Elephas maximus indicus: one gene and its partners. The protein of the gene in region 1 interacts with the protein of each later gene in a biochemical or structural test. Links are inferred from orthologs where the notes say so. Each region holds a gene or a part of one and is shown in the gene's direction. Other genes may lie near its edges. The genes, in order: HDAC4, CAMK2D, NACC1 and NR2C1.

Region 1 (7,658 bases):
TGAGCAATAAGGAAGGACCTTCCCTCAGAGCCTCTGGAGAGCACGACCCTGCCGTCGCCTTAAGTTCAGACTCCTGGCCTTCGAGCTGCCACAGAACATGCCTCTGTTGTTCTGTGCCACCTACTTTGTGGTGCTTTGTTTCGGCGGCCCTCGCAGACCGATACAGTGGCTATGTAGGCTGTCTTGGCCACTTAGTGCATCCTTTCCCAGTGTGATTTTCTTTTTTTTTGGTAGTACGTGTCAGCGCTGTTGGGATCTGTTACAGCCACGATTGGGGGTTGGTTTTCAATTCCTCCTGACAGAGGTTCCTTCTCTCGTCAGTGGCTTGTTGATTAAGACGGAGGTGAGCAGTACCAGTGACCGCAGCTTCTCCTCCAGGGCCTCAGGTCCCAGGCGCCGCTTCCCGGGGCAGGCAGCCAGCAGAGTGAAGCTGCAGGTTAGACACCACCGTGCCAGTGGGCATCTTCTTCTGGTGTGGGGAGGGGGAGAGCTGTGGAGGGCACGTGCACTACGGGCCATGTCGTGGATGGTGTCCCCACTCTGTAAACCCGGGGAGGCAGCCCCTGTGGCATTGGGATGGTACAGCAGGTGGAGCCTGCCGCCTGAGTCAGGACAGCCGCGTTGTTGCCGTGTGGCCCTGAGAACACTGTCTGAGCCTCTGAGCCTCTGTGGTGTTGTTGGGCAGCGGAGCTGATGCCAGCTTGTGGGTTGCTGGGAGATGTGAGAACTGCTGGGACAGCCAGTGGGCACAGGTAGGCTCCCAGGGTTCGCGCTGGTGAGTCTTTCAGTTGGGGGCTCCAGGGGACATGTGGAGAAGGTGCCATTGGGGCAGTCCCTCTGTGCTCACTTGTCCTCGGCTTTTCCCAAAGTGCACTGCTTAGCTGGGCCTGTGGTCACACGTGCCTGGGCCTGCAGTGTTGGATGGCCACCACGTGTGTACTCCCCAGCTTGCTCGGGCTCCCAGAGGGCCAGTCCCTGGCCGAGAGCTCTTGGGCCGGCAGTGACCACAGAGGCTTCTGTGCAGGGGCAAGGCTGAGGGGCCCTGCCTGGAGATGGGTAAGCAAAGTCCTCATCCCACCCTGCATCACCCAGGGCTTAGTGAGAGAAAGGCTGTCCCAGAGGGAGCCGCAGTGGTGTCCTGACCAAGCCCTGCACCTGGCCTGCAGGACATGGTGGCGCCTCTCCTTGGGGACCTGCCCCCAGGCCTCGGCTCGCAGCTCCATCCTGGTGTTTGCAAGCAAGGCCCGTGCCCTGGGGCTTCGGGGGTGCCATTCCCTCTCTTTATTCTGGAGCATACACCACCCCAGCCTACCATGTAGGAAAGCTGTCTGAGGTAGGACTGTGGCAGTGCCCCGGCCATGGCACGGGCATGGGAGCCTTCCTGGGGGCTTCCCCATTGGTGCTGGGGGAGACGGCCTGCCTCATCTGGTGGCTTAGCCAGTGGGGTGCAGGTGTAGGAGCTGCGGCCTCCATTGTGGGTGCAGAGGAAGAGGAAGGAGGGGTGAGAGACAGGTGGGTGGCCATCACTGGCCCTCTGGCTTTTGACCTTTGGTGGTCCCCTAGGCTCCTGAGTGAAGAGGCTACCAGGGGCCCCTTCTCAGGAGCAGTAGGGGAGCTGGGGAAGAGCATTTGAGCTGCTCTCACTCCCCAGGAGCGGAATTTGCTTTTCCATCATCTCTCACCACCTCTCAGCCACGTTCTGGGCTTGGGCTGGAATCTCCCCACCCCGCTGGTTTAGACACATGTGGCTGATGCTGACGTGTGTCCGCCAGGCTTACAAACCTTGATTTGCCTTTATGGGAGGGGTGGGATCCTTTTCTTTGGTTTGACTGCTCAGGACTGATACCCTCAGAGAGCAGGGCCAGCGCCGAGCAGGCGCACGGTGGACAGAAGTGCGGTAACCTCCCAGGGGTGGGAAACCAGCCTGTCTCAGGCTGAAAGGCCGCAGGCATCACCCTAGGGTTTGGAAGGGTGCTCATAGCAGGTGACAGGATGATGGCTCCGTGCTGGCTGAAGAATGTGGCTCAGACAGGCTGACGTCAGCTTTGTCCTAGGGCTTGTCACTGGATGTGGATGCCACCTAAGTCAGAGGCCAGGCTGTGGAGACAGGGTTCAGCATTTCATCCTGTGTCTCTTTTAGAGGAAGGGTGTTGGCATGGTGATGAGGGCCACCTTCAATGGTTCCTGGGCCCAGTGCGCCTGGCTGTGGACATCTGTGCAGTGACACGAGCACTGCTTGCTACCCCTTCCCATGGGCCCTGCTTTAACTCCATCAGCACAACAGGAAGAGAACACACATGTCTGCAGAGAGGGACCCAGCTTAGGGAAGTGATGTTCCAGGCTACTAAATGAAAAACAAACAAACAAACAAAAAAACAAACCCATTGCCATCAAGTCGATTCCGACTGATAGCGACCCTGTAGGACAGAGTAGAACTGCCCCATAAGGTTTCCAAGGAACGCCTGGTGGATTCAAACTGCAGATTTTGGTTAGCAGCTATAGCTTTTAACCACTATGCTGCCAGGGTTTCCAAAGGAGTCCCCATATAGTTCTACTGGGGCTTGAACCCAGGACCTTCTGCGTGTAAAGCAGACGTGATAACTGCTACACTATGGAATTGCTTAAATGAAAGGGTATGTTAAAGGATGAAGAAGAGTTGCCTGTTGGTTGAGGGTGTCCAGCTGGCTGGGTGGCATGTGGGGCCTGAGTTTGGAGGGTCTGTACACTCTCGGGCGTGCTCTGTGAAGCCAGCTCGGCTCTGAGCCCTGTCCTTGTGCGTACGCTGGCTCAGCCTTCAGTGTCCAGGTCCTCCTTTGTTTTGGGCACCTGTCTGCTGATGCCACCTGCACCTTTGCCTTCTCACCCTGTAAGGGCCAGAGAGAAGGGCATAACCAAGCTCCTAGTGACGGGCAGCCGCTGGCTGCCCGTGTCCTGGTGTATGCTCTCCATCTGCTCCGAAGTTCCACCCCACACTGCCCGCAGGACTCAAGCTAAGTGGCATCTCCTAGCGAGGACTTCCCTCCACCCAAGCCTCGTGTTCTTGGTGGGCAGTACTCTCTCCTGTAGATAAACTTTCATTCTTGTTGAGTGCCGCACGTGCATGGCTTTTCCTCAGTGAGCATCCCCAGGCCCTGGTTCAGGAGGAGAGTCAGCTGACCACCACGCTGGCTCTGGAGTTGAGTGTGCTCTCACAGAGCCCTGGACCACTGTGGGGCTTGGGCTCCCACCCACGTCGGGGACAAGAACTGGCCCCAGGTCCGTGGACGCTTCGGTTTCCCCCTCATCCGTCGGCCCTCATGCTCCAGGGCATCAGTAAGGAGATGTTGTCAGAGGCCTGTCTCTCACGGATGGAACTGTTCACTTGGCTGAAATGATTGCTCTGGACTGTGCGCCCCGGGGTTTCGCTTCTGACCACCTGCCGCATGTGACACCTAAGGTACCTGGCTCCTCAGGTCGTCACTGCCACTGTGGGAGCAGGCTGTCTTGACTGAAGACAGTGGCCACTCGTACATGGAATGCTACTCAGCCGTGAAGAGCGAATGAACCTGTGCTGAGCAGGGCAGTGGATGCTTGCACACGGGATGCTTCTCGTGTGGGATGCTGCCGATGTGTGGAATACCACTCAGACGTGGGAAGCAGCACACACGTGGGACGCCGCCCACGGGTGAAACGCCGCGCACACGTGGGACGCCACTCACGGGTGGAACGCCGCACACACGTGGGACGCCACTCACGGGTGGAACGCCGCGCACACGTGGGACGCCACTCACGGGTGGAACGCCGCTCCCACGTGGGACGCCACTCACGGGTGGAACGCCGCGCACACGTGGGACGCCACTCACGGGTGGAACGCCGCGCACACGTGGGACGCCACTCACAGGTGGAATACTGTGCATATGTGGGACACCACTCGTGGAATACTGCTCACACGTGGGACACCACTCACAGGTGGAATGTCGCTCACACGTGAGACGCCACTCACGGGTGGAATACTGCTCACACGTGGGACGCCGCTCACGGGTGGAATACTGCTCAATGTGGGACACCACTCATAGGTGGAATACTACCCACATGTGGGACACCACTCATAGGTGGAACACCATTCTCAGGTGGGACACCATTCACAGGTGGAATACTGCTCACACGTGGGATGCCACTCACACGTGGAATGCAGCTCACATGTGGGACACCACTCACACGTGGAATACTGCTCACATGTGGGACGCCGCTCACGTGTGGGGCGTCCCTCATGCATGGGACACTGCTCACATGTGGGATGCTGCTCCCATGTGTGACAGTGCTCACACGTGGGATCCCACTGAGCTGTGAAGAAAAATGAAGTCCTGATACATGCCACAACACAGATAACCTTATTCTGAGCAGGATGATGGCTGATCACGGAGCTCCAGGCTCCTGCCTGATGCTGGCTGGCAGTGGCGACCTGGGCCAACCCCTCCCCCGTGCCTTCAGAGGCAGCTGGTGGTATGTCTGGGAGCAGCTTCAGGAGTGCGCCAAGGGGCTGCGTGTTTCCACGTTGGCCATTGCAACATCATAGCCTGCAGTGCACGCTGGAATGTCCTACTAAACAACAACTGCCCTTACAGCTTCCCAACTAAGCTGGGGGTGGGGTGGGTAGGGCGCTTTCTTCCCAGATAAGGCTCCTCAAGTTCCTGGAATGCTTACGCCTGGGGTGGAGAAACCCTACATGACTTGAACTCTTCTTCACACGTAAGTCCCCCACGTCCCGTCCGCCGCACAGACGCCCGGCCCTTTCTGGTTGCGATCATGCAGTCAGTCAGTCCAGCCCGGAAGTGCAGTTCCCCACATCTTCTACAGCTAACAAACACCTCACTTCAGGTGCCCTAAAATCAAATTCAGGCTGCGGAGAGGTTATAGTGCTCTCAAACTTGTACGTGGAAGCAGAGGGAGAGAACTGGCCTTGTAAATGAGCGAGTGCCCCAGAAGGCGGTGCCTTGCTCCTGACCTCCAGGGCACTTGAGGTGCGAGCTGGTGGGAGCTTGGGCGACATGGCCCCGCACAAAATCGGGTTTGGCAGAACGCTCACTCATGGGCCGGAAAGTAAACAGTGGTGTCGAGCCTTCTGCGTGAGCCCGTGTATCATCTGCTTGTTATGTAATCTGACAACACGGGTATGAAATGGAAACCAGATGTCAGGGCGGAGCGCTGGAATTCTTCAGCCGTGAGTGCCGGGAGGCGGGTGTGAGTTTGCTTCTCTGTGAAGGCCCAGCAGCTCTGGGAGGGCAGGCTGGAGGGTCCTGGGAGCCAAGCAGACGTCTCGGAGAAGGTAAAGTATGAACCCGGAGTCTTTTGAAAAACGTGTGCCGCTGCTCTGTGCTTGTTACATAGCTGTGCGGGGACTCGGCACGGCGACCTGGTGGCTGGCCGTCTAGAAGCGGCTCAGAGCATGGAAACTCGGCGAGGGGCCCCTGGCATCCTGCTACTGATGGCTGGTCGCAGGGCCTGGGTTTAGAGTGAGAGGGGCATGGACGGGCACGTGCCGTTTCTCTGGTGGTGGCTGGGTTGTGTGGTGGGAGGGGTGGAAGCGCGTCATTTCGGCGCTCGCTCCTGCACACGTGCAGCTGTGGCGATAGTGGCTCCTGGCGCACAGCAGACCACAGTGCTGGGGCGCCCAGAGGCAGGGACTTGGGATTCTGCTGTGGCCAAGCCCCCTGCCAGTGGCCCTGTGGGTGCCAGAGGGTGACTGCATCTCCTCTCCTGGCCTGGCCCCTCTCGTGCTCTGTGGAACGCCCTGGGATGTGGGTCCTTGACTTGCCACATTCACGCCTTTCTGATCTAGAAAATCAGACTCACCGAGATCAGGAGCAGAGCGCCTCACCTGCTGAAGCAATGGCTAGCCACAGTGGTAGTTCCATATTTGATCTCAACTAAAACCCCAAGTGTCTCTGCTGTGGTAGCCGAGGTTTCACATCTACAGACCCCTTACTTTGCTCATATCCTCCTCTGGGAACCCTACGGGGCCGTGACCCTGTACTCCTGTTAATGCCATGCCGAATTCTTAGACACCACTCGGGTTATCCGTCCGTCCTGTTTCATTAGGCACCCAGCTCGGGGGCCAGAGGAGATCTGTGGCTCCTTCTGATCCCCTGGGTTTCCAGCTTTCTTACCTGTAAAACGATAGCTGACGAGTCTGGGGTGCTTTCTGCATGCTGGGCCTGTGCACAAAGTGTGTTAGTGCAATTTGTTACGTGATTCTCAAAACACACCCTGGAAGTAGGTGCCTTTGGGACACCATTTTACAGCAGGGAGAACTGAGGCCCAGGCAGGTTGAACGACTGGCTGAGGGTCCCACTGTTCGGGGGCTGTGCTGGCTTTGCACCCAGGCAGCATGCCCCAGAGCCACCGTGCGGCATGTCTCTGGTCTCTCCTGGCTTGTAGTTCTGGGTCCCTTGCTTCAGGGTGGACGAGGGCACTTCACCGTGCTTGCCGGTGGCCTTTGGGTGTCCAGTTTGGAGGAACCCCAGTGCCGGGGAAAGTGTAGTCCTGACGTGGGCGTGCTCCAGTCTGCAGTCCTAAGTCCTGGGCGATGTTACGCCACATGGTGACCCCGGGAAAAAGATTTGATGTGCTCCTGCGCCCTTGCTCCATTTTGCTTGTTCCGAAAGGGAACTAAAAACAAACCCAGCCCACACCGTTGGGTCAGACGGAATGTGGGAGTCAGAGACTTATCTAAGTGGAATTTCTCTTGGAGCCTTTCCTTGATCCAGAGTTGTCCTTAATGTTTTGAAAAGCACGTTAGAGATACCAGGCATGCTGAGAGGCCTGGGCGGCCACTGCTGTTCTGTGCATGAGAGGTGGGACTGCACAGACCGTCCAGAGGACACATCTGTCTGTCTTTGTGACCACCAACCCCCTCGGGCCTTGGGCAGGGTCCCAGCGGTTGGGCTGGAGCCGGGGTAGGAGGCCCCATGTGGGGATCCTTGACCTTGGAACCCCCACTCCCCATGGCATCACTTGGGAGGCTGCTGCCTGGGGAGATTTGGGCTCTGCATCCCCATGGTTCTAAATAACACCGCTTCTTGCTTCTGGACACACTCCGTCTGTCCCGAGGTCCTTCCCGCCCTGGGTGGCCATCGGGGTGCAGCCCCAGGCCTTGGGCTGGGCACCAGTGTACTTTCTCTTGCTGAATCGCTCCTGCCCGGGGCCACATGGTGGCAGGATCCAAAGTGGGGCACCCCTCATCTATTGATGGGGGTCGCCTGCGGGACCCTTGAGGCGGGGGGGTGGGGCCACTTGCTTTGCTCTTGCCACCCCCCACCCCGCCTTTATCTGCGTTTAAAAATAGGCAGGCCTGGTGCCAGGCCCAGGCTGAAGGCCACTTCTTGCCAGCCCCGAGGTGATAGGGCTGCACAGGGGGTGGAGTGAGCCAGGAGTACAGGGTGGGGGTGGCCCTCAAGGGCCCGCGGAGCCACCCAAGGCGGCCTATGGAAGTCGAGTGAGGCATCTGAGTACTTCTTTTAAATGAAGACATCTTATCCCACTTCTTTTTTGCACTGTAGTCGGGAAGGTCATGAACTGGAGTGTCAGCAGCACCAGGCCAGGTGTGCCTTGCAGAGAGGCCTAATGAGAACACGGGCGTGTGTAATGCAGGACCCTTGGAGTTTGGGTCAGGGATCAGA
Region 2 (7,518 bases), on another chromosome or scaffold:
ACCCACCAGCCATTCAGCAGGAGAAAGATGTGGTAGTCTGTCCCTGTAAAGATTTACAGCCTTGGAAGCTCTATGGGGTAGTTCTACTCTATCCTACAGAATCGCTGTGAGTCGGAATCAACTTGACGACGGTGGGTTTGGTTTGGTTTTGCCAAAAGACCAAATAAATTAGTTTATTAAGACATTTATTTTTAATAAAAATATTAATTTTTTAGCACCTGCTAAAACAGATAAAATGTTTTGTTACACTTTTTCTGAAATACAACTAGAAATATTCCTTAGAAGTAAATGTGGTGAGACTTTGGTTTGCTTACTTTGGACACATCATCAGGAAAGACGAATCACTAGAAAAGCACATCATGTTCTTAAAGTAGAGGGTCCACGAAAGCAAGGGAAACCCTCAGTGAGATGAACTGGCACATGAGCTGCAACAAGACACTCAATATCGTAAAGATGGCACAGGACTGGGCAATATTTTGCTCTGTTATATATAATGTCGCCGTGAGTTTGAGCCAACTCAACAACAACTAACATGTAATAGGTATTAAGGAAAATATAAAGGCTGGACTAGGAGTGAAAACTCTCTGAAAGAGATGCAATAACTAATAGAGTACTCAGGGATGGTTTATTGATAAGGTGACGTTTGAGAAATGACTGGAAGTAGGTAAGGGAATGGGACAGGAGGATAGCTAAGAACATTCTCCAGAAGGAAACAGGAAAGTCCCTAATCAGGAGCATGCCAGGTATGTTCCAAGAACAGCAAAGAGGCCAGTGTGGCTCAAATGGAGTGATCCAGGGCACAAGATGAGGTCAGAGCGAGTAAGGGCGGGGAACAGATCTCCCAGGGCCTTGTAGGCCATTTTTAGAACTTTGTGTTTAGTCCATTTGAGATGGGAAGCCCTGGGAAGGTTTTGAGCAAAGGCATGATTTGATCTGACTGAGGCTTTGAAAGAATCGTTGTGGCTGTTATGCTGGGACGAGGATGAACAGGCCAAGGGCAGAAGGCTATTGAACAAAACAAGCAAGAGACGATAGTCCAAATTCATTTTGGTATAACTTCTGATTAGGCTACCACTGAAATAATTTTATATAATGTATAGGGTCGCCATGAGTTGGAATCGACTTGAAGGCAATGAGTGTAAGAGGTGAAAAAAAGTCAAAATAATACAGTGCAAATGATCACTATCTTACAAATATCAAAACCAAACCAGTTGCCGTGGAATCATTTCCGACTCATGGCAACCCCGTGTGCGTCAGAATAGAACTGTACTCCACGGGGTTTTCCATGGCTGACTTTTTGTACGTAGATCATCAGGACTTTCTTCCAAGGCACCTTTGGGTGAACTGGAACCTCCAACTTTTCAGTTTGCAGCTGATTGTGTTGACCACTGCACCACCCAGGGACTTTGTCTTGTAAATATATTCTCTTAAATAATGGTATAAAACTGTATTAAAAATGTTTTCAATCACTATAATTAAGATACTGTGCCTTCCAACAACCTTGTAAGACACCAAGTTTCTATTATTATTCAGCGTGTAAAATTATCACATGTTCATATCAGGATATTTCAGCACAAAATAATAACCTCTGGATAACTGGCTCTGTGTTTATAAAACCTGATCTTGTCAATGAAAATACTAACCTGGTTCCTCATTAATGACAGCCAAATTAAACAAACAATAAAATAATCACAAGGGTGTGGATTCCCTCTACTGCCCTTCTTAAGTGTTACCCTTTTGGAATCAGTTATGTATGTATGATGAAATTTAAATGCATTTCGACACTAAACCCAAGAAGAATAAGAGCCACTGTTTATTCCACTATTATGAGTCTACACCCTTTAAATTGAACTCTATGTTGTAGGATTATTCCTGAAATATGGAGCCCTTGTGCTGCAATGGTTAAGTGGTTAGACCCCAACAGCTGCCCGGCAAAAGAAAGGACCTGGTGATCTGCTCCCTTAAAGAATATAGCCTAGGAAACATTATGGGACTGTTCTACTTTGTCATATAGGGTTGCTATGAGAAAGAACTGACTAGATGGCATTCAACAACAGATCCCTAAAACTATGTTGAAGTAGTACTGACAAAAGCTTTGACTTGATTATCTTTTTAAGTGGTTCAGACTCCGGAAATACTCGTCAATATTTAAATAAGAGAAACATTTTAATTAGTCCAAGATAAAGATCAAAGAACAATGCAAATACAGACTAAGCAGAGTACTTACAAAATGTACTCATGTATTGTCTAATAATACGTCGGTATTAAAACTGTTACGTTTTCTTCGTTTCCCCATACAGTTATCATGAACACTTTACAAGTATCTGTAGTTTAAATAACTAAGACAAATACTGTAATTATGTAGACTTCATTGTGTGAATATTTTAAAAACAATTCCTTCAGAGGTGCAAAATCTTATATAACATTTATTTATTGTTTTAATTTTACTTTTGGTTTCATTTTTAGATTCAGAGACAGCATATTGCTAAACATTTAAAGTATATATTAAAAACCTTTAGCCTAACAAAAATTTTTTTCAACTTCAAAGCCTAAATACTAGTATTTAGACTTTTTTCTCTACGCAGTTTTACGGTTTTTCTTTTCTTTTTTTTTCTGTATCACACCTTAAAACCAAAAACCAAACCCAGTGCCGTCGAGTCAATTTTGACTCATAGCGACCTACATACTGTTAATTGTTTTTAAGACTCAGAAACAAAAACATGTAAACTTCAATTTTGTTGTAATAAGCATTAACAATTATGAACATTTTGAGTAATTCAGAAGAAACTCAATTATTAGTAGAACTGCATCCCCTGAATCAGGAAATCTGAGAACCTAAAGATTATGTGTGACCACGGGCAAGGCAATTAATTAGTATCAGCCTCCTGGGAGCAAGTAACCACCTTTTTAAGGCTGAGATTTCCTTTTCAGCTGTAAAATTGTGTCCCTTAAAAAATGTAATGCTAATGACGAACAAATTAGCAGTAGAATTGCAAGGTTTTTATTACTTGTATTGAAGAATAAAAGGCACTGATCTCAAAAAAATCGTTCATAACTCTTGTTTTGTGGTCTGTCCCTAAACCTGCAACTGTATACTTGATTAAAGACACAGGGCTGGAAAGAAGGCCCAAGGGTCGTTTTAGCAATCACCAACAATTTGTCTATTTTTACATGTAATGTATAATTATTTTTTCTTGTATTTACTGTAAACAATGACAGATTGGAAAATGCAGTAGGATACATTCTTGAACTGTTAAGCGGTTTTTCAGACACTCATTTACCCAGTATATGCACATGTAACTACCCTGTCCAGAGCTTAGCGCATTTCAGGCAAAGCTCTCCTTTTCCTTTTTTTTTTTGCAAAGCGAAACGGGCTGGACGTGATGTGAGTGACGTCAGCCCCACCAGGTCCCATGACCAACACCCAACCTTTCTAATTCCCCGCCCTCTGCCTCCTTTGGAACTGCAAATATCGCGAGAACCTGCCTTACTATCAGAACTTAAAGAGGTTACAGGGAGTTACTCAGAAGAGAAGGGAAGGTGTGGCTCTGTGGTGGAGTTTTCTGGTTTCATTCTAGTAACGTTCATGGCTGAAAGCAAAGGCTTTCGGGGATTGCCAGGGTCTGAGCAACCCGGCTTGGAAAGCGGCGGGGAAGGTGGAGAATGAGTTGCAATCAAATCAGTAGCGAAACGTGGCGCAGGGGCCGGCGTCCCCCCTCACTAATCGGGCGGTGAGGGAGAGAAAATACCTGCGCCTGGCGCCTGAGGGGTGGCGGCGCGGCGAACGCGGCTGCCGCGGGGGTGGGACTCGACAATGGCTGAGAGGCTTTGGGAAGCTGGGAACTTTCTCTGAAAGCAGCCAGCTGCCCACATCCGGCCCCTGTTGTGTCAGCACAGAACCACGGCAGATCAAGTGGTTGCGCCTCTCGCCCTCCCGCCCGGTGAATCGCGGCCCGGGAGTTGGCCTAGAGCGGTTCTCAGGGCCCGGCTCCCAAAATAGGCTGGGGCTCCGAGACCCCCGGAGGCTGCCCTGGGTCGTTCTCGAGTAGCCCCGCATCGTCCCACTAAATCAGTCCCAGTTTCGGGCAGCAGCTTTTCCGCGGGTTTTAGATTGGTAATTTTGACATCTGGCCTCATTCACCTAAACCCCCGCACATCCTCCACCCACTGGTCTCTCTCGAGACGGATGTGCCGCGCGCGCCTGTGTGTGAGACCGAGGGAGGGCGAACGCTTCACGAAGGGAGACGGTTGGAGTCGCTAGAGGGAGGTGTGGGATCAGCGAGGAGGGGGCTTCGCGAGGGAGGGGCGGGAGGAGGTGCTGGGGAAGGAGGCGGAGGAAGGGAGGACTGCAGTCGAGACTTGGCCCGAGCCGAGCGCTTTTTTTTCTCTCGGCGCCGTCTCTAAACCGCGCGGGCTCGTTTTGCTGCGCGAGGCAGCTGAGGTGCAGTGTCCCCAGTGCCGCTGCTGCCGGCGGGAGGGAGGCTGGCCCGGGCGCGCACGCTCGACCGAGCCCCGGCGCGCCCCGCGCCCGCGCCCGCTGACAGCTGCTGCCGGGCTCTGGCTGCCCGCTCCGGGCTCTGCGGCCTCGGCCCCTCAGCACTCCGCCCCCGCCCCCTCGGGCTCCCTCCCCTCTGCCACTACCCCTCCTATCCCCGGTGCGGAACGTTTCGCAACTGCTCGCCTCTTTCCCCGTGCCCGGCTCTTTTTCCATTTTCCCGGGCCCCTCTTCTTGAGTACTTTTCCCCCTGCATTTGGAGAGAGGGGCTGGAAAAGGGTCTGGTGGAGAGTGCAGAGAAGAAGAAGGAAGCGAGGCCCGAGGAGGAGGAGTAGGATCGGCGGACCGTGGAGAGGAGACCCCACGGCGCTCTTTCTGGTCATCTCTCCTCCCGCCCCGCCCCGCCCCTGCGCACACTCCCTCCTGGGCGAGCTACTTTCGGACCAGAAAAGTGAGGGCGGCCCTAGGTGACAGCGCTGCAGGGCCAGTCCCGAGGAAGCCGCGCTTCTGCTCGCGTCTAGTCCACCACGCTTCCAGCCAGGGGCGCAGCCCGGACCGAGGATGGCTTCGACCACAACCTGCACCAGGTTCACGGACGAATATCAGCTTTTCGAGGAGCTCGGAAAGTAAGCGCCTTTGCCCGGCATCGCACGTAGCCTTTCCAGCTGATGGCGAGTCGCGTTGCCCCAGACCCACCGGCCTCTGTCTTGGGGCCAGGGAGTTTGGAGGACCAGGGGAGAGGGAGGGGAGCCCCTGGTTTGTGCGCTCTGGCTGCCTTAGCAAGGGGCGGGGACAGGGAAGAGGAAGGACCCCCTTATCTTCACTGTGACCCATTCTCCTAATCCCTAGCCCACCCTCTCCCGCTCCCCACCCTGTTTCACCGAGAGACTTGGTGAATTTACGATCTCTGCAGTTGTAGCTGTCATCCTGAGGAGTGTGTGTGTTCGCGCGCGTGTGTGTGGAGAGGAAGCAAGAATCCATGTAAAATGCAACATAGATCATGTTTTCTGTAAATAGAGATGCCTCCGGGTTAGCAGGCGTGTCCGCGGTAGGACCCGTGCACGGATGAGAAGTTACTGCCACAGAAGATGCCATGTTTATTGATGCCGAAAGTTCAACTTGGCGTAGAGGCTATTTTGCATCTAGTAGTAGTTCTGTCCAGGAAAAGGGCCACCCAACGGACCCAACCCTCTGCCCCATGTTCACTATTAGTCTTTGCACTAGATGACTCCCACACCATCATCCTTCTCAGGATTTGCGCGTGCATCTTCGCGTTCTCTGGGAGGATTTATTTAAACGGTGCAGCGGAAAAGCCTTCTGGCGACCGGGAGAGCGCTTCCCAAGGGTAGCCAGCCTAGCTTTGCATAAAACGACCTACACCCGACTGGCAGAACTACTTGGATGTGTTAAGGGGGTTAGGAGACCTACTTAGGACCTGTGTAAAAGGACCTAGGGGCCGAGCCTTGAATGTTGATTTATGGGGAGTCAAACCCAATTCCTCAATAGCTAGTTTCAACTACTACTTAGGAAAGGGGTGCGTTTATGTGTATGTTGCTGGTTTATACAGTTGAATTAAAGGCAGTGTATATTTCTTTTAGGTGCAATGTAAACCATAGCCTTATTTATTGTCTGCTGTTAAAACATGGAGAATATGTCGGAAGAACAGCTTAATTCAAAACTCTCCCCTCCCCCACCCGAAAACAGGACAGAGAAATCACCATACCAGGATTTGTTAAACCACGCAAATGTGCTCAAGCTTTATGTTTTAATGAAAATAATCGCCATATTTACTTACTTGGAGCCATATTATTTTTTTCCCTACCTAATAAATAGGCAGCAGATTTTTGCTGCTCCTCCACAGCTCTGTTTTTCGCAGGGTTTTCTCAGAGCATTTGGTGCTGTGTGAGTGTGAACTGTAAAATGTTTTCAAATTTCATGTGTAAACGAGCCGTCATAATTGGCAGTTCCTTTCATTTTGTTGATTAATTATGTGGGCTCCCAGTTAAATAAAATTTAGTTTTTTTCCAACATTAAAGAAGTCTGGGTTTCCAGGAAGGATTGTTCATTTTTCTGGATACTACTGTAGTGCACTGGTATTTGACAATCCACTAAAATCAATAAAAAAGCTCAGATTGTTGTAATTTCTTTTGTAGAGTATCAGAGCTGATTATATTGATGACTTGCTAATTATTGGTTTTCAGGGGGGCATTCTCAGTGGTGAGAAGATGCATGAAAATTCCTACTGGACAAGAATATGCTGCCAAAATTATCAACACCAAAAAGCTTTCTGCTAGGGGTGGGTATTTTTAATCACATATATATGTTCATTTTCTGCTTGTCGTGTTGATTGTTAGTTCTGTTGTATGTGAATATGCCATAGAGTTATAATTGAATTGTAGACTTAGGTATCATATTACATATTAGGGTTATTTCCTTCCTGAATGACTCTTAGTTTGTACACTTTAAAAATAAATGAGCAAATATAATTGTTATTATTTAATACATTGTTATTAAAATTCTCTCTCTCCTATGAGCAGTGGGATAAATAACTATATTTTAAAGCTAATAAATGTCGCTAAGTGTATTTTGCCTTCAGTTCTAATGTGAAATAACGTTCAGAAGGACCCTGGAATGGAAAAATATGTCTCACAATTGTCATAATTCCCTTTTGCTTTTGAGAGGAAAAATAGGTCATAGCTCAGTTGGATCATGTTATTTCAATTGTAGTTGCACTTGAACGTAATTCACTAAGGCCTGTTTAACAGTAACAGTAATTTATGATTACTGTATTCTAGGAAGTTCGATTTAATTTTGATGTTTTTGTGTGCAGTTCAGACTTTACTTGGTATTCTGTTTTAGGTCTTCTCACAGCATCGTGTAATGTGTTTTACACATGCAGTTTATAGTCATAGAGATGATTCTTACTCATAAAATAGCTGTTGACATAAGCAAAAAAACTTGGAGGAACCTCACTGTGATCTTTTTATTTCGTCAAACTTATGTGAAGATACTTGTCTACGGTA
Region 3 (7,475 bases), on another chromosome or scaffold:
AGTTGCCTTCCTTCCCAGCTGACCCTTGCTCACCGGCTCTCGGAGGCTCCTGATGCTCTGCCAAGGCGCTGAAGGTGGAAGGCCCCACAGCCCACACACTGGAACACCAGGGCCTGCTTGCTGAGGGCAAGGGAGGGTGGCTTAAGTTCTAGGCCCAGCGCGCCCCCACACCCCAACTCCTCCCTAAGGCTGGCTCAGATCCCTTCAGACTCTACAGTGCAGGACTGTGTCCCCCCATTCCCCTGGGGCAGGACCATATTCCCCATCCCCCCAGGGCAGGACCATGTCCCCCATTCCCCCGGGGCAGGACTACATCCCCCAATCCCTCAGGGCAGGACCATTTCCTCCCTTTCTCCCAGGGCAGGACCATGTCCCTCATACCCCAAGAGCAGGAACGTGTCCCCCCACTCCCCAAGTCAGGGTCCTGTCTCTTCCCTCAATCCATCCTGCTGCACCCCTAACCCAGCCCAACCTGGCTGAGGCCTTGACCTTCGCCTGGCCAGTGAAGACGCGGACAAATACTCGCACGTAGAAGTCGGCACTGATGCTGAGCAAAGGTACCACGAAGCGCTGGTAGCAGTTGGCCCGGAGGTCCAGGCTGTGCAGTACAATCCTCAGGGCCTGGTGGCCAGGGGATGGGCATTAGCACCTTGCCCCTGCCCTTCCCCCTAGCTGAAAAGCAGCTCACAGTACAGGCTGGGGCTGGCTCCTTGGGTTCCAGTCCCGCCCCTGTCACATCCTGGCTGTGTGACCTTCAGCAAGTGAGCTCTGCCTCTCTGTGCCTCAGTTAGCTCATCGCCAGAGTTCAGCAGCCCGTCTCTCAGAGCACTGCTGGGGCATTAAGCGAGTGAAGGAATGCACAGACCCAGCCGAAGATCTGATAAGCATAGATGTCAGTACTCCTTGGGGTGGGCTGTGGCCAAGGACCTGAGTCCCGGCCACCATGGGCTCTGTGGGCAGGAAGTGTGGGGACACTGGGTGCAGCAGAACCACTAGAGCCTTCTCTCACCAGGAGCCGCTGTGAGGCTCCGACAAGGAGAAGGAGGAAGCATTTGCCAGAGCGCTCTGATGACAGAGCCCTTAAGGAACAAGGACAAGAGTGCCTCCTGCCCCTGCTTTCTCGAATCCCCATAACCATCATCACACTCATTTTACAGAATCAAAAACTGAGGCCCAGAGAGAAGTCACTTGTTGCCTAAAGATATCAGCAAAGCTAGGCTTTGAAGCTAGATCTGGAAAAACTGCCTTACAAAAGACGATTTTGAAAAGTTTTTAAAATTCACAATACTAGAAAGAATAATGGAACTACCCACTCTGACCCTGGGCAAAGCCAGTGCCCTGCAATGACCGAGATGGACAGCCCATGCTCTGAGCAACTCTGCCAGTTAGAGAGGAGCTTGTCACTCACACTCGGGCATGAATCTGGCCCTGGCTGCCTGGGGTGGGAGGGTGGCCCTGGCGTGGAGGGCTCACCATCTCGTGGCAGGCCCGGCTCTTGAGGGCCATCGCCCCGTACTTGCTGTAGCATGTTTCCCCGCTGTTTCCTGCTAGCACCGCCATGTCTGTGCAGGTCACACACAGCAACCCTGCAGACAGGAGTGGGCAGTGAGGACCCTCCAAACAGCCCAAGCCCTGCTTCTCGTGGTATCAGCCCCGGCCTTACCTCCTTCACTCACAGCCTGCACTGCGGCATCCAGGAACGGGGTGGGGCTCCCATAGGGGTCCAGGTCGATGACATCAAAGCGTTCTGACACCCTCTGGTGCTGGTACATCAGCATCCTGGGTGTGAGAGGGCCAGGCCTTCAGTGCAGGGCCGGTCCCCTCCCCTACATGTGTCATCTCAGACAGCTGAGTGGTTTTGGCCTAGACTCAGGCCCAGCTACCTGGGTTCAAGTCCTGGCTTGACCATTTACTAACTGCACAGCTTTGCCTCCTTGGGCCTCAGTCTACCCATCTATACCAATGATAATAATAGTTAACGTTGACACAGCACTGACATGCTCAGCACTGTTTCAAGCAGTTTATAGAAGTATTACTCATTCGATTCTCCAAACAACTTCATGGACTGGGAACTACTGTGGCTCCCTTTGCCACTTTCTCAATGCAGCCTACCTACCCTGACCACACTGCTTAAAATTGTAAGCCCTTCTGCTGGCTGCCTTCATCTCCTTCCCCTCTATTTTTTCCATAGTACGTTTCACTTCCAGTTTACTCTATGATTTATAGGGTCGACAGGAGTCGGAATTGACTCAACGGTAAAGGGTTGCTTTTGTTTCAGTTTTTTTTTCCTTATTTGCACATTTGTTTTGTTATCATCTGTTTCCAGTTAGACTCTATTGGGGTCAGAACAGTTGTTCTGTAAAGGGTCAGATAGTAAACATTTCAGGCTTTGTAGACACATAGTCTCTACTCCGTATTCTTTTTTTTTTTTAGCTTTTTAAAAATGTAAAAAGCATTCATAGGTCAAAGATCATGCAAAACCAGGCTGCAGTTTGCCAACCCCTTCCTTAGAACAAAAACACCAAGTCAGGGATTTTGTTTTGTTTACTGATGCATTCTGCTGCAAAGAATGGTGCCTGCCACATACTGGCACTCTATACACACCAGCTTCATTTGAATAACAATAAAAGAAGTACAAAAGGTTAAGTCTAAAACAGAGATGACAATGGTACTTATCTTTGGACAGAGTTAAGACTATATAAGAATTTTCTATCATTTAATCATCATGGTAGCGGCTGTAAAACCATTGTGTTCATTTTACAGATTAGACAACTGAGGCTCAAAGAGGCTAAGTCATTTGCCCAAGGTCACATAGCCAGAATATGAGAGCCAGGATGTGACATCAGGAAGCCTGGCTCCAGAGCCCATTTTCTGGACACTAGGCTTTTCTGCCCCATACCTACCGGGCATCTGCCCGGCTGGGCTGTACAAGGTGGGCCACATCGTTGAGCTGCACATTGCGGCGTATGAGGTCCACAGCTCGGGAGGAGGCGTCATTGGCGATCACAGATTGAAGCCCAGGCACTTCTTGGGCAAAGCGAATGGAACGCAAGCCTGAGGCTGCCAGGCCCTCCAGCACCCGTAGGCCTTCCTGTTGGGGTATACGGGTAACCTCACTCACATCCATACCTCTGTTTTCTGCTGAGCTCCTAGGAGTCTTCCCCTGCCCCCCACCTCATTTAGATCTCCTACTTCAGGAGCCCTCTTCCCTCCATCACCCACTGAACTCCAGGGTTCCCACTGCCTGTGCTCAGGCCCCACCTCACAGAGCTCCCTCACGGATGCTGTTCGAGGCTGGTCTCCTGGGGCCAGGTTTTCCCCCTCTTTCAGTTCAGCCTTGTCCTCCTCTTGCTCTGACAGGTCCACGACCAACTTTTGCACGTCCTTCTCACCTGGCACCTTGACTGCAGCCATCCAGAAGCATGATTCAAACGATATCAAAGTCCCCTCTGAGAAATCTCCCCTAACTCTTCAGAAAACAGAAGGCTCATGGAGGAAAATCTTCCCCAAACCCCCTGGGGAAAAGCTGATGGAGCAGAGTCCAGGGCCTGCTATGTGGCTGGCACCTTCTGGGGATGGGAAATGCGGTTGTGAGGCAGGGAGAGCTTTGTGTAATCCCCACCCACCAGGAGCTTGGACCCCGACTCACTGTGAATTCCTTTGGTTTGAAGCTGAATGCGAGCAAACTCGGTGATCACAGCACATCTGACAGGACACGGAAGATCAGTTCACACCTCTTTCGCCTCACCGACCCACAGCCTCCTGCCCTCAGCCAGGCTGACCCCTGACCCCCTGCTCACGTCAGGTCCCGGTTGAACTCCTGAACCGGGTTGTAGAAGACTTCGTTGGCACTGGGGAAAGCGATCTTGGCGGCCCCTTCGGTGATTGTAATCTCCTGGGCCTCAGGTGGGCGCTCTTCTCCGCTGTTCCCGGTGCCGTTCTCCATCGCGTCCGGATTCGGCGGCTCTTGGGGCTGCCCCTCCATACTGCGGGCTCTACAGAGACTGCGGGAGGAGCGATGGGTGAGGCTTAGCCACAGAAGGATCCTTGCGCGGGACATCCGCGGGCGTCTCTGTCCGTCACTCCTGATTGGGGAGTAGAAGAGTGGGGGATCGACAGAGGATCAGAGAGGGCTACGTTCTGGGCCAGGGGTGGCCTAGACATCTGAAAGTGAAGGCTAAGAAGACCTTGCGGCCTCGGGACGCTGACACCTCCCCCTTCTTCCGGGGACCAGCCGGAAGCCCTCGGAGCGGACTTGTCCCCGGTCTGGATACCTCCCCGTGCCGCGTAGGCCCTCTTTACCTTTTCTCCGGAAACCAAGAAGGAGATAGGTCTCGGTGCACGTTTCCTAAATTAGGACCTGGGCGCCGCCATGTTGGCACAGTAGGCGGGTGGATCATGTGACCAGTTCAGCCAATCAGCGATGCTAAGTACGGTAGGCGACCGGGATCAAAATGTACAGTGGGAATGATGCGCGCTGAATGTGCTGTACAAGTGGATTTAATAACAGCAGATCCCCTGGGAGGGAAGCATGCCACCAAACCCGTTTCACACATGAGAAAGTTGAAGCTCAGAAAAGGGGCGGTAAGCGAAAAATCCAACACCTATTAATCCTCTACTTTGTGTCGGATGCTGTATACACATTGTTTCAGAGCACCCTCCAGCGTAACAGGAATAACTTGAGGCTCTGGAATCAGACTTACTGAATTTGAACCCCAGTCCTACCACATGCTCTGGGCAAGTTATTTAAATTCTCTGGGCCTCACTTTCCTTACCTTTACAATAGGGATCCTAACTTCCAAGATAGAGCAAAGATTAAACGACAGAATGCTTGGAAAGTGTTCAAGGCAGCTCCCCTGAGGAGGTGCTAAATGGTATATGAACGCAGGAAAACAGTGTTTGGCCAACTGGGTTCCAGTCCAGTTTTGCTGCTGGCTACTTGATCTTAACCCTCTCTGTGCTTCAGTTACTCCATTTACAAAATGGGCAGAACTTTTTAACGTTTGTCATTGAGTTGCGGTGAAAAATAAACCAGTTTAGTGCAGGTAAAATGCGCAGAACGGAACCTGGCGTCTTGAAAACGTCGTAGGAACGTTAGCTTTTATTGCCGCTTCCTGAGCCTAGGTTTGAAGTCAGGTACCCACCACCGCTTTGTTACTGAATCATCTTGAGCAAATTCTTTTATCTCTCTTCTAGAAAGCTGTGCGTGCCTGTGTGTGCGTGTGATAATTTCTATTTAAAAAATGTTTCTGTGAAGCTTAAGCAAAGTCGTTCTCATAAAGAACCTAAAACAGTGCCTGGCTCAGTAAATAGCAGCCCTCGTTGTTTTCGTTTTATAAGAAACTGAGGTTCGGAGAGACAAAGCGACTGCCCCAAGGTCGCGGGGCTAGAAAGTGGCGGGGTCGGGATTCGAACTCGTGAGCAAAGTCGAGTTACTGGAGGGGATCCCGAGGGACAGAGGGAGGAGCCCGAGCCGGGAGGAAGGGGGTGCGCTCGACGCTCTGCTGGCCGCGCCTGGGGGCGGGACGTGGGGGCGGTGTGCAGGCGGGGCCGCGGCCGCTCCTCCCCCGGCCGGGCTGCGGCGGCGCGCGGCCTGCGCTCGCTCGGCGCTCGGCTGGGGCGGCCTGGCCCACAATGAATGGCCGCCGCGGCTGCCGCTGCTGCTGAGGCGGAGGCCGCGGAGGCCGCGGAGGCGGAGGCCGAGGCCCCGGCGGAGGGGGGCGCGCCCCGGGCCCAGGCCGGCCCCAGCCGCCGCTGCTGAGTCCGCCGGGAGCCCCCGGAGCGCGGCCGCGGCGCAGGTGAGGGGGCCCACCTCAGGCCCCGGGGCGACCGGAGGGCGTCCCAAGGCTGAGGGCAGAGGGCTGAGGGGCTTCCTCCTCGGAAGGAGGAGCTGAGCCCGCAGCTTTCCCGGTGCCCGGGCCAGCGAGTGCGGAGAGGCCTGGCCACCGCGGGCGGCCTTGAGCGTCCAGCCTGGGCCAGGCCGGGCCGCGGGGCCTGGGGGCGGCAGAATCTGACCCGGACCCCCTTCTCCAGGCAAGGAGGGTGGGCGAGGCCGGGCTGGGGCAGGTGCCGGGAAGAACTTGGAGGGCCTGAGGAGAAAAACTGATGAGGCGCCCGGGGAGGCCGGAGGGGAAAGAGGAGTCGGGCACTGGGCCGGCCGAGCGGGGGGAGAGGGGAGAGCGGCGCGGCCGGAGGGAAACGGCCCGGGGCGGGGGGGGGGGGCGGTGTCGGGGCGGGGCCGGGCTTGCAGGTACGGTCCGGGCGCTGAGGAGGTGGGTCAAGTTACAGGCCTGGGGGCGGCCAAGGAAGTGGGACAGGGTGGGTGTGGGCGGAGTTAGTTCGGGTGGGGGAGGATAGGAGATCCCGGAGATGTTTGCAGGGGTCACATGAGGTCAGAGCTCAGAGAGGTGGGGCAGAGGCTAGATCTGGGGGAGATCAGGTAGGGTGACCGAGTACTGTAGGAACCTGGGGAGTGGAGGGAGGCAGAGACTTTGGGCCTGGATGGTGGGAGTGTGGGAATGGGTCGGGAAAGACATTTTGATCAGAAGGCACATGCTAAGGTGTGGCCACTCTCGGGTGTTAGCTCAAAGCCGAACCTGGGGAGGGCTCTTCTTTCCCACATCCCATCCCTGAAGCCTGAGTTCTCGTCCTACCCCTTGGGCAGGCCTCTACTGGCTGTTTCGAGGCACCGGCCAGCCTGGTGGGTGTTTGTGTGGGCAGCTCGGGAAATAGCCTGGAACACCTAGCTCAGGCATCTTGTTTATCACGGAGGTGGGCATCACCCACCCCATATAGCTGCAGGAAGGCAGCCCAGTAGACATGGGTATTTTAGGGTCCTGGATTCTATCCCCACTTTTTGTGACCAGAGCCTTAAAGCTCAAGTCTAGGGGACGGGACCTAGAGCCCTTTTCAAGGGCTCCCAGGCACCAGCGCCCTGAACCTGAGTTCTGTGTGTTCTTTTACTAGAGGTGAAGAATTGGGGAGCGGAGCAAATACAGCCCCGTTGTGTCTTAGAAACTTCTGACAGAGTGAAGGCAGGTCAGAGAGAAGGGGATCAAATCAGGTACCCACACTCCAACCCAGCCTCTTGAGTTACCCAGAGTGCTGCCTCTGGGGTACTCATCCTGGACTAGGCCCTGTGCTGAGCTTGCTGGTCTATTGGGTTAGCTCACTGATTGCTCACCACCAGCTGAGCTCAGGCCTTCTCCATAGGATAGACGAGGAAGTAGAAACTCAGGAGATGGTGTAGCAAATCACACAGCTAGATGGGGCAGAGCTGGAGTGACTCTTGGCCCCACCCCCTAGCCCCCCACAATCCCCGAGTTGGCCTTCTAGGGGCATACCTGGAGGAGCATCGCTTTCTTCTGGATGCCCAGGTGGGGATTCTCTCAGATCCCTCTTTCCTGGCCTTTCTTCCTGTGCAGGGAGGGGTAAGGTCAGTATACTTGTGGACGGACTGAGTCTTCCTGGTGTCT
Region 4 (8,001 bases), on another chromosome or scaffold:
TCCCTGCAATTTTTAATGATTCCTTTTTGGAGACTAAGGTTACACCTCATAAATGATTTCTTTCTGATTCAGTGGGTCTAGCATTTGGCACAACAAGTTATTTGGGATTCTTCCCCATCCCTTTGAGCTCTCTACTTTCTGACTAAGGTTTGACTTAAACCTCAGACTTTCAAAAAATATTCAGGCTATTTCATCTTCTAACAACTGGCTGAATCAAGAACCAGTTCTAAATTTAAACTGAGAGAGAAGAAACCTCTAGTAATTCTCTTTAATTATATATGAAACACATATGTGATTGTACTAGCTCTTAGCTTAGCCCCTTGGGAGGGTTTTGAGAATTATAACATATAGCCCTCTTCTCCAATAAAGAGGTTTTAAATGTGGAATATTATTACACTTCTCCCCTTATCAATCATTTATAACTTACTAAAACTGATCAATCTCTTGATAGCTAACACTTCAGAGAAAAAAAAATATGTGCTGCATTCTGTAAATGGAAAGTATAACCAGTACCTTAATCCTAGGAATACTGTATTTAGTACATTAATCGATGTGCTTCCATCAAATTCTTTTACAAGTATCCCCTTTTACTCATGAGAGAGCAGTTATAAAGCTAAGCTGAAATGGATGCTTAGAGTAACCTACACAAGGAACACCAGGTTGAACTAGATTAAGGCTGGCATTTTTTTGTGCTTATCCCCAACCAGTGCTCCTTTTTTAGCTGTAGCAGCTGTAGATGTAGAAGACCCACCAGAGTCCTAGGAAAAATGAGAAAGGTTCTCTTTGGCATCATCGCACATTTCTGAACCTCTCTCTGTCCTCTTCGCCTGTGTTCCCTAATATACCCAGTATCCTGCTATTGTCTTCTGGCTGCCCAAGATAGAGGAACCACCACTGCTCATTCTCTCTTCTTCAGTCAAAATCTTGATTATTTAGAAGCATTTCTTTAAATGAGACCATCAGACCAACCCTTAACTCATATAACGCTGTAATATAACAACTAAGTGAGCGTCTTAGTTATCTAGTGATACCATAACAGACATACAAGTGGTTGGCCTTAACAAAGAAAATTTATTCTGTCACAGTGAAGGAGGCTAGAAGTTCGAATTCAGGGTGCCAGCTCCAGGGGAAGGCATTCCTCTGTTAGCTCTGGAGGAAGGTCCTTGTCATCAATCTTCCCCTGGTCTCAGACCTTCTCCATGCAGGGGCATTGGGTCCAAAGGACAACGCTATTTTCCTGGCTCTTGTTTCTTGTTGGTATGAGGTGTCCCCCCACCTTCTCTTTTGTATCTCAAAAGAGACTGACTTAAAACACCACTTAATCTTGTAGATTGAGTCCTGCCTCATTAACATAACTGCTTCTAATCCTGCCTCACTAAAATCATACAGGTAGGATTTACAACACAGGAAAATCACATCAGATGACAAAATGGTAGACAGTCACACAATACTGGGAATCATGATCAAGTCAAACTGATACACTTTTTTTTGGCCGGGGGAGGGGGGGACAATTCAATCCATAACAGTGAGCATGACAGCTTTAAAGTATAATTTTGTTAGCCAAGTTTATATGGGTGGTAGAATATATCTGGAAACGGGGAAAGCCTGCTATTTGGTTATTTAGTTAAAATGTAAATATCAGTATATGATATGTCTTGAATGCATACTTTCATTGTGCTAAATTTTTGGAAAGTTTGAGATCCATTGTAGTGAAATATAATTACTGAGATTTCCAGAGAATTGAAAGCAGATACTGTATTTAATGTAGCAGTTTCTTTCATAGTAACTACCCTGTGCTTTTTAAGAGAAAATATTAAGTATTTCCTCAGGTATCTTAACCCTTTTCCTCAGGTATCATACCCTCCAGCTAATCCTCACCCATCCTTTTCTGTTCTTACTGTTTTCTTCTTTATTCTCACTTCCCCCCACTTTAAGTAGAAGAAAGTGAGGACAGAAGTCTTGTCATTAAAACTCAAACAGCCCCAAAATGCCCTCATTATTACTTAGATCTTAAACCTATACTCTTCACCATCCTACAAGGCCACATTTGCAACTACCTGTTAGATAGCTGGAAACCCTGGTGGCGTAGTGGTTAAGTGCTATGGCTGCTAACCAAAAGGTTGACAGTTTGAATCTACCAGGCTCTCCTGGGAAACTCTATGTGTCCTAGAGTGTCACTATGAGTCGGAATTGACTCGACGGCAACAGGTGGGTTGGATAGCTACACGAGTCCTTCTCAAGCATTTTAAATTTTATAGGACTAAATCTCAACTCACCTTCCCATTCAAATCTCCTTCTTTTATTTTCACCCATAATGGAAAGGCATCATTCTGGGCTCTGGGATCTGTCTCCAAGTCTCAACAAGGCTCTTTGCAGTTATCCTTGTATCCTTTCCATCCTCCTTGCCCTTTTACTTTTTGCCCTTTTATTGTTACTGCATAGGCCCTGACTCAAGTCCCTGTTACTACTTCCCAATGATTACAGTAACTTTTCTTCTTACCTCAATACCTTCTTTATGTGGTCCCATTTTCAGCACTGCCAGAGCTATCTTTCTACAGCATAGCTATAATCTAGTTTTATCTCCTGCTATTATTATATATATTTTTTTATTACAACCTTCAGTGGCTTCCAGGTGGCTTGGCATGGAATGCAAATTCTATTACAGTTCGCCCCAAACCATGTCTCACCTTTATATATTACTTTTCCTCAGGTATCATACCCTGCAGCCAACCCTAATCCATCCCTTCTCTGTTCACAGTGTTTTCTTTATTCTCACTTTTCCCAAGAGTGCCCAACTTGAAAGCCTCCTCTGTGACAGTTGATCCTAGCCTTCTCTCCCCTGTTCCTCCAGAGTAGATCCAGTGTCTCCTTCCTCAGTGCTCCCGTGGCTCTTCGTTCATAAACACTTTCTTATGGTGCTTGTCACATTCTGCCCTTGAGAACCGAAACTGTATCTTGTTCATTGGAGATTCCTCTACAGCCCAGGGCAGAGTGCCTTGCATGAAGTGGACACTTATATTTGCTCAATACAGTTGCTTCTGATTTTCAAGAAAAAAGTGCCTGCAATACACAAACATTATCCTGGAGCTTATGATACTTTTAGTCATTTTCTAAACAAAAAATCTTATCTGACTTTTCCCCTTTTAAGAAAAGAGACAAATACTTTCTAGTAGGATTTTTTTTTAAGGTAAGAAATTTTCAAAAAGCTCCTTTTTTGGGTACAGGGGAAGAGATGAAGGGGGGCAGTTTTTTATATGGGTTCCTATGGCATGAAAGAACACAATCTTGAAATACTGTTGTTTCTTTAAATGATTTATGATGTATTTCTAGAAACATTTTTTAAAGTGATAAGTCTGTTTCTTATTGTCCATATAGAAATAGATCCTTTATAAATAATTAGCATTGTAAATAATGTTAATAAGTATATTTATATTAAATAAATTTAATATCTATTTCTTGTGTGATGTCTTTTAAACCAAAACTTTTAGAGTCACAGATTTAAAGATGAACCTCACTGACCTCTTGGTTTTTCTGAAGGGAAAACTCTCCTTCACCCATAAATGATGTTCCGAAATTGGCTTCTACATCCAAGTTTTAATAAGTTAACTTACTGTGACTTAAGTGAATTAATTAGATGATAAGGGGTAATCTCGCGCATCACTACAGATATGCATACTGTGCCCTGAGAATAGAGAAAAGGTCTCAGATTACTTTTCCATTTGACCTACAGTGTACTTAGCTTTCTCCTTTGGGACCAGTTTAAAGATTGCAGGATTGAGGCAGTACTTTGCCTTAAAACCATCAAACACACAACAAATGATGGTAAAAGTAAGAGGTGGACTTTTACAGAGAATGAGTCATGAATTATATTTCCACTTGCCACATGCCCTTTTTCCATGTGTTCAGTTGCATAGTTCTAGAGGGAAATGACCTAGGAGATGTTCTGGTTCCCAAACGCACATTTGTTTTTCCTGACTTGGGCTTCTGCCTTGAATCGGCAGCTGCTTTTCTACAGTGCTGACCCTCAGTAAGATGGACTGACACTGTGGCTGTAATAATGGGCTCAAGCATAGCAACAACTGTGAGAATGTTGCAGGACCGGGCAGTGTTTGGTTCTGTTGTGCACAGGGACGCTGAGTCAGTACCGACTTGATGACAACAACAACGACCTACGCACCACACAATGGAAATTCTGAGGATCCCTTCTCTTAAAAGTCTAAACCACACAGTACTTTGCATACAGGGCAACTGCTCCTACCACACACTTTGCTGTCTCAGGTGGCCACCATCAGAAAGTGATGTTCTGTCAGTGCCCTTTAACACCTTTATTTACCATCAGGCATTGTCCTAGTGCATGAGGATACACCACTGACAAAGCAGGTAAAAACCAGCCTTCAGGGAGCTTACATTCTAGTGATTATATTCTTGCTCCATTTAATCACATCTCCATTATTTACTCACAATAATTGGTAAATAAAAACCTTGCCTTACGATATATCATTCTGCCTCGGCTCGTTTATATTTAAATAAGGAAATTTTAAATACTTGACTGGGATCTTGTTAATCCTCTAATAAAACCTAGAGTTGTTTGGCACAAATTAGAAACCGAATTGCCTAAAAACAATTGGGTTATGTTTTATTTTTATTATTCAAATCTGAGACGTTGACTCAAAACTTCCTTTTGACAAACACCGTACTTCTAAAAGTACCTGATGGGGACACACAGCTCTCGGCCATTGTCCCTCCGAGCCGACAGGGGGCAGGCGACTTTCAAAACCGCGGCTGGGTTCCTCTCATCCCTCCTCCCCACCCTCCCAACAGAGAACGTCACGCCCCCCTCTCGCGGCTCCTCCACACCGTTAATGCGCAGGCGCGGGCGGGAGCGCGCACCAAGGAGCCGAGGGAGGGGTCACGAACTCTGACCCCCCCCCGAAATACACAAACTCAAAGCTCCCTCCTCCCGCTCCCTGGGTCCTCTTACTCCCCACCTTTCTCCAACCTGTCTCCTCCCGGAACTCCCCAGCATCCGCCGCAGCGGGGCTGTCGGGTCTACGCCCGGAACAGGACCGAGCGCGGCGGAGAACCGCGGGTAAGAAGCGCCGGTGGGGAGAAAAGCGGCCGCACCAGGGGCGGGGGTCGAGAGTGTCCCTTTAACCCAACTGCCAACGGACGCACCCGCAGGACGCCCCCGCAGCCTGCGGGCTCCGGCCGGCAGGGCCGGCCCGTCTGGCACTGCCGCGGTGGGCTGCTCAGGTGGGGTTGGGAGGAAGAACGGAGAGTGGCCGGAGCGGCGGGGCCGAGTGTGCGGGGCTCCAAGAGTGACCGGCGCGGGGACGCGGGTCCTCGTGAGGGCGGCACAGCGGGGCGCGGGAGGTAGTCAGCGAGCTGCTCGGTGCGCACGGCCGCCTCTCCCGCCGCGCCTCCTGCGGCGCCTCTGACCTTTCACCTACAGGAAAAGCTTCCGTCTCGGCGCTGCTGCCGCTTCCCCCTCCCCAAGGGGCCGCGCGCCGTGGCTGGGCCTGTAGGGCGCGTGGCGGCTGGCGGGACTCAGAGGCGCGGGGAGCGGTCCGACGTGGGAGAGGCTGACCCTTTCTTCGAGTGGCCGCTGGCAGAGGCCTGAACCCTTGTCACCTAGGGACTCTCAGATTTTGGTGCTTACAAGTGACTGACGGAACAACGCCCGCAACTTTCACTTTTATTTTATTTTGAAGGGGGAGAGTGTCGCCGCTGCCTTTGGACCTGTGTCTTTTGCATGTCCGAGCACCCAGTAGCTTTTGTTAATAAACCCTGTCTTCAGCTCGCACAGATATCGTTCCATGAATTACAAATGTTGCTGAATTGCCCTGTAACCTGCAGTAAGTAGGTCAGTCTGTAATAAAACAATTGGAAAGGAAAAGGAAAAAAAAAGACTTGAAAGTAAAGCCTTTAGGGTTTTTGCGTCTCTGAAAGTTGTAAATAGGCTGTTGACCTTGAAGTTTTTGAACGGTGTTTGCTGTGTGCTTGGTTGTTACAGGAAGATTGTATTTCAACTTTGTATGTCCGATTGGTAGATCTAAAAGATACTTAGATTTTATTCTTATGAAAAATATATTGTATTCTTAAAAAAAGGGGGGGGTTTCACGAAATGTTGCTAATTTCATCATTCCTTGTGGAGGCATTTCAATTTTATAGGAATTGAGGTATTTTGTTTTTTATTGTGCTTTAGGTGAAAGTTTACAGCTCAGGTTAATTTTTCGTACAAAAATTTGTACACATTGTTTTGTGACGTTAGTTGCAATCCTCCCAATGTGAGGACCCCCCCCCCCCCCGCCCCATGTCCATTCGGCTAGTTCTTATGACTTTCCATCCTGTGTTTGGACAGGAGCCGCCCATTTGGTCTTCTGTATCTGAATGAACTAAGAAAAGAAGCACATTCCTCACGCGTATTATTTTTTGTTTTATAGTCCTGTCAGATCTTTGTCCGAAAAGTGGGCTTCGGGAATGGTTTCAGTTCTGGGTTAACAGTGTGTCAGGAGGCCATAGTTTTGGGGGTTCCTCCAGTTTCCAGTAAGTTTGGGCTTTTAAGGAAGACACAAACCAACGGCAGCAAAAATTCCTGAAATACCTACTTCTGTGTGTCTGCCGCAGAGCCTAATTCCTACCTTTGGGATATAAAAAAAGACAAAAGAAGTAGCATACGATAATTAATAAATATTAGAAATATAATTCCTTACTTTCTTTCCATACACATTGCTGTGGAGTCGATTTCGACTCATAGCGACCCCATAGGACAGAGTAGAACTGCCCCTTAGTGTTTCCAAAGAGCGTCTGGTGGATTCAAACTGTTGGCCTATTTTTGTTCAGCAGATGAGCTCTTAACCACTATACCACCAGGACTCCAAATCACAAAATCCTTCGGCAACCTTTAAAAATCTTGTTTTGAAAGCCGTGGACTCCTCCTTAGAAAAATGCACGTGCACATACAGTTTTGCATACAATAGAAAAAAAGGAGTTTATTCATGAATCCTAGTTAACAACCTTACTGTACACAGTAAATACTAGACCAGTCTGGCAAGAGTGGGTAAAAACTATTTGAACTGAGCTGGGGTGGGGAAGGGAGTGTAGGAGATTGGAACGATATATTGAGGAATAAGTAACATCTTTTTTTTTTTTTTACTTTAACCTGAATAGGTGGCGTCTCTTGGGAATGATAGGAGAGAAGATGAGGAAATCAAATTATAAAGGAGTTCGCCATAGTTTTCTCAGGGCCAGGCATGTAGTGGTTGCTTAATAAATACTGAAAGAATACCAAGGCAAGGAGTTAGGACTTATTCTTTGGCCATTAAAAAGACACCGATGGTTCCAAAGCAGGAAAATAAGGATGTAATTCAGTTCCGCAAACATGCTGAGAACCTACTTGCCAAAGCACTCTACCAGGTACTGATACAAAGATGGTTCTTGTTTTCTATTGTGTGCCAGCGATTCCTGCTCATATCGACCCTGTAGGGCAGAGTAGAACTGCCCCATAGGATTTTCTAAGCTGTAATCTTTACGGAGGAGTCTTGGTTGTGCAATAGTTAAACACTCGGCTGCTACCTGAAAGGGCAGCAGCTCAAACTGACGAGCTGCTCCATGTGAAAAAGTTGTGTAGGTCTACTCCCATAAAAATTACAGCCTTGGAAACCTTATTAGGAATCAGTTGGACAGCAAAGTGTTCACCCTAGCAGATCTCCAAGTCTTTTCTCCCGCAGAGGAGCAGCTGGTCAGTTCCAACAGCCTAACCTTTTGGTTAGCAGCCAAGCACTTAACCATTGTACCACCAGGGCTCCTTTCTTACCTTCTAGTGGCTTTTAATATGCATAGAGTTGTATATGTTAAATACACATTCAGGAAGCTCAGTTCTGGCAGTAGCTGAAATTTTACTCCATGTGTTAAGTTGGGATTCTTGGACGAGGAGGTTTTATGAACCCCTTAGTATTTAACATATGCTGTTGTTTGCACTGTGAATGTACTTGTGTGTAT

What was found.
Region 2: of the proteins of HDAC4 (region 1) and CAMK2D, one has a biochemical effect on the other in vitro, tested with the Homo sapiens proteins (2 studies listed by BioGRID, with this or other methods). The link is inferred for Elephas maximus indicus from reciprocal best matches to the Homo sapiens genes HDAC4 and CAMK2D.
Region 3: the proteins of HDAC4 (region 1) and NACC1 form a complex in vitro, tested with the Homo sapiens proteins (2 studies listed by BioGRID). The link is inferred for Elephas maximus indicus from reciprocal best matches to the Homo sapiens genes HDAC4 and NACC1.
Region 4: the proteins of HDAC4 (region 1) and NR2C1 form a complex in vitro, tested with the Homo sapiens proteins (2 studies listed by BioGRID). The link is inferred for Elephas maximus indicus from reciprocal best matches to the Homo sapiens genes HDAC4 and NR2C1.

What each region holds. Positions count from the first base shown.
Region 1 is NC_064824.1:141,302,571-141,310,228, reverse strand, and holds the start of HDAC4 (histone deacetylase 4), read left to right. Parts: upstream 1-4,653; 5' UTR 4,654-5,157; coding exon 5,158-5,305; intron 5,306-7,658. UniProt on the Homo sapiens protein: Responsible for the deacetylation of lysine residues on the N-terminal part of the core histones (H2A, H2B, H3 and H4).
Region 2 is NC_064823.1:36,591,060-36,598,577, forward strand, and holds the start of CAMK2D (calcium/calmodulin-dependent protein kinase type II subunit delta), read left to right. Parts: upstream 1-4,513; 5' UTR 4,514-5,056; coding exon 5,057-5,121; intron 5,122-6,696; coding exon 6,697-6,791; intron 6,792-7,518. UniProt on the Homo sapiens protein: Calcium/calmodulin-dependent protein kinase involved in the regulation of Ca(2+) homeostatis and excitation-contraction coupling (ECC) in heart by targeting ion channels, transporters and accessory proteins involved in Ca(2+) influx into the myocyte, Ca(2+) release from the sarcoplasmic reticulum (SR), SR Ca(2+) uptake and Na(+) and K(+) channel transport.
Region 3 is NC_064821.1:31,760,306-31,767,780, forward strand, and holds the start of NACC1 (nucleus accumbens-associated protein 1), read left to right. Parts: upstream 1-4,474; 5' UTR 4,475-4,481; coding exon 4,482-4,584; intron 4,585-5,086; exon of another isoform or gene 5,087-5,136; intron 5,137-5,618; exon of another isoform or gene 5,619-5,798; intron 5,799-5,822; exon of another isoform or gene 5,823-6,033; intron 6,034-7,475. Other genes in the region: TRMT1 (tRNA (guanine(26)-N(2))-dimethyltransferase), read right to left, coding at 34-120, 473-621, 1,474-1,586, 1,664-1,779, 2,904-3,091, 3,262-3,404, 3,650-3,705, 3,801-4,060. UniProt on the Homo sapiens protein: Functions as a transcriptional repressor. Seems to function as a transcriptional corepressor in neuronal cells through recruitment of HDAC3 and HDAC4. Contributes to tumor progression, and tumor cell proliferation and survival.
Region 4 is NC_064822.1:160,425,794-160,433,794, reverse strand, and holds the start of NR2C1 (nuclear receptor subfamily 2 group C member 1), read left to right. Parts: upstream 1-4,995; 5' UTR 4,996-5,863; intron 5,864-7,170; 5' UTR 7,171-7,416; exon of another isoform or gene 7,417-8,001. UniProt on the Homo sapiens protein: Orphan nuclear receptor. Binds the IR7 element in the promoter of its own gene in an autoregulatory negative feedback mechanism. Primarily repressor of a broad range of genes.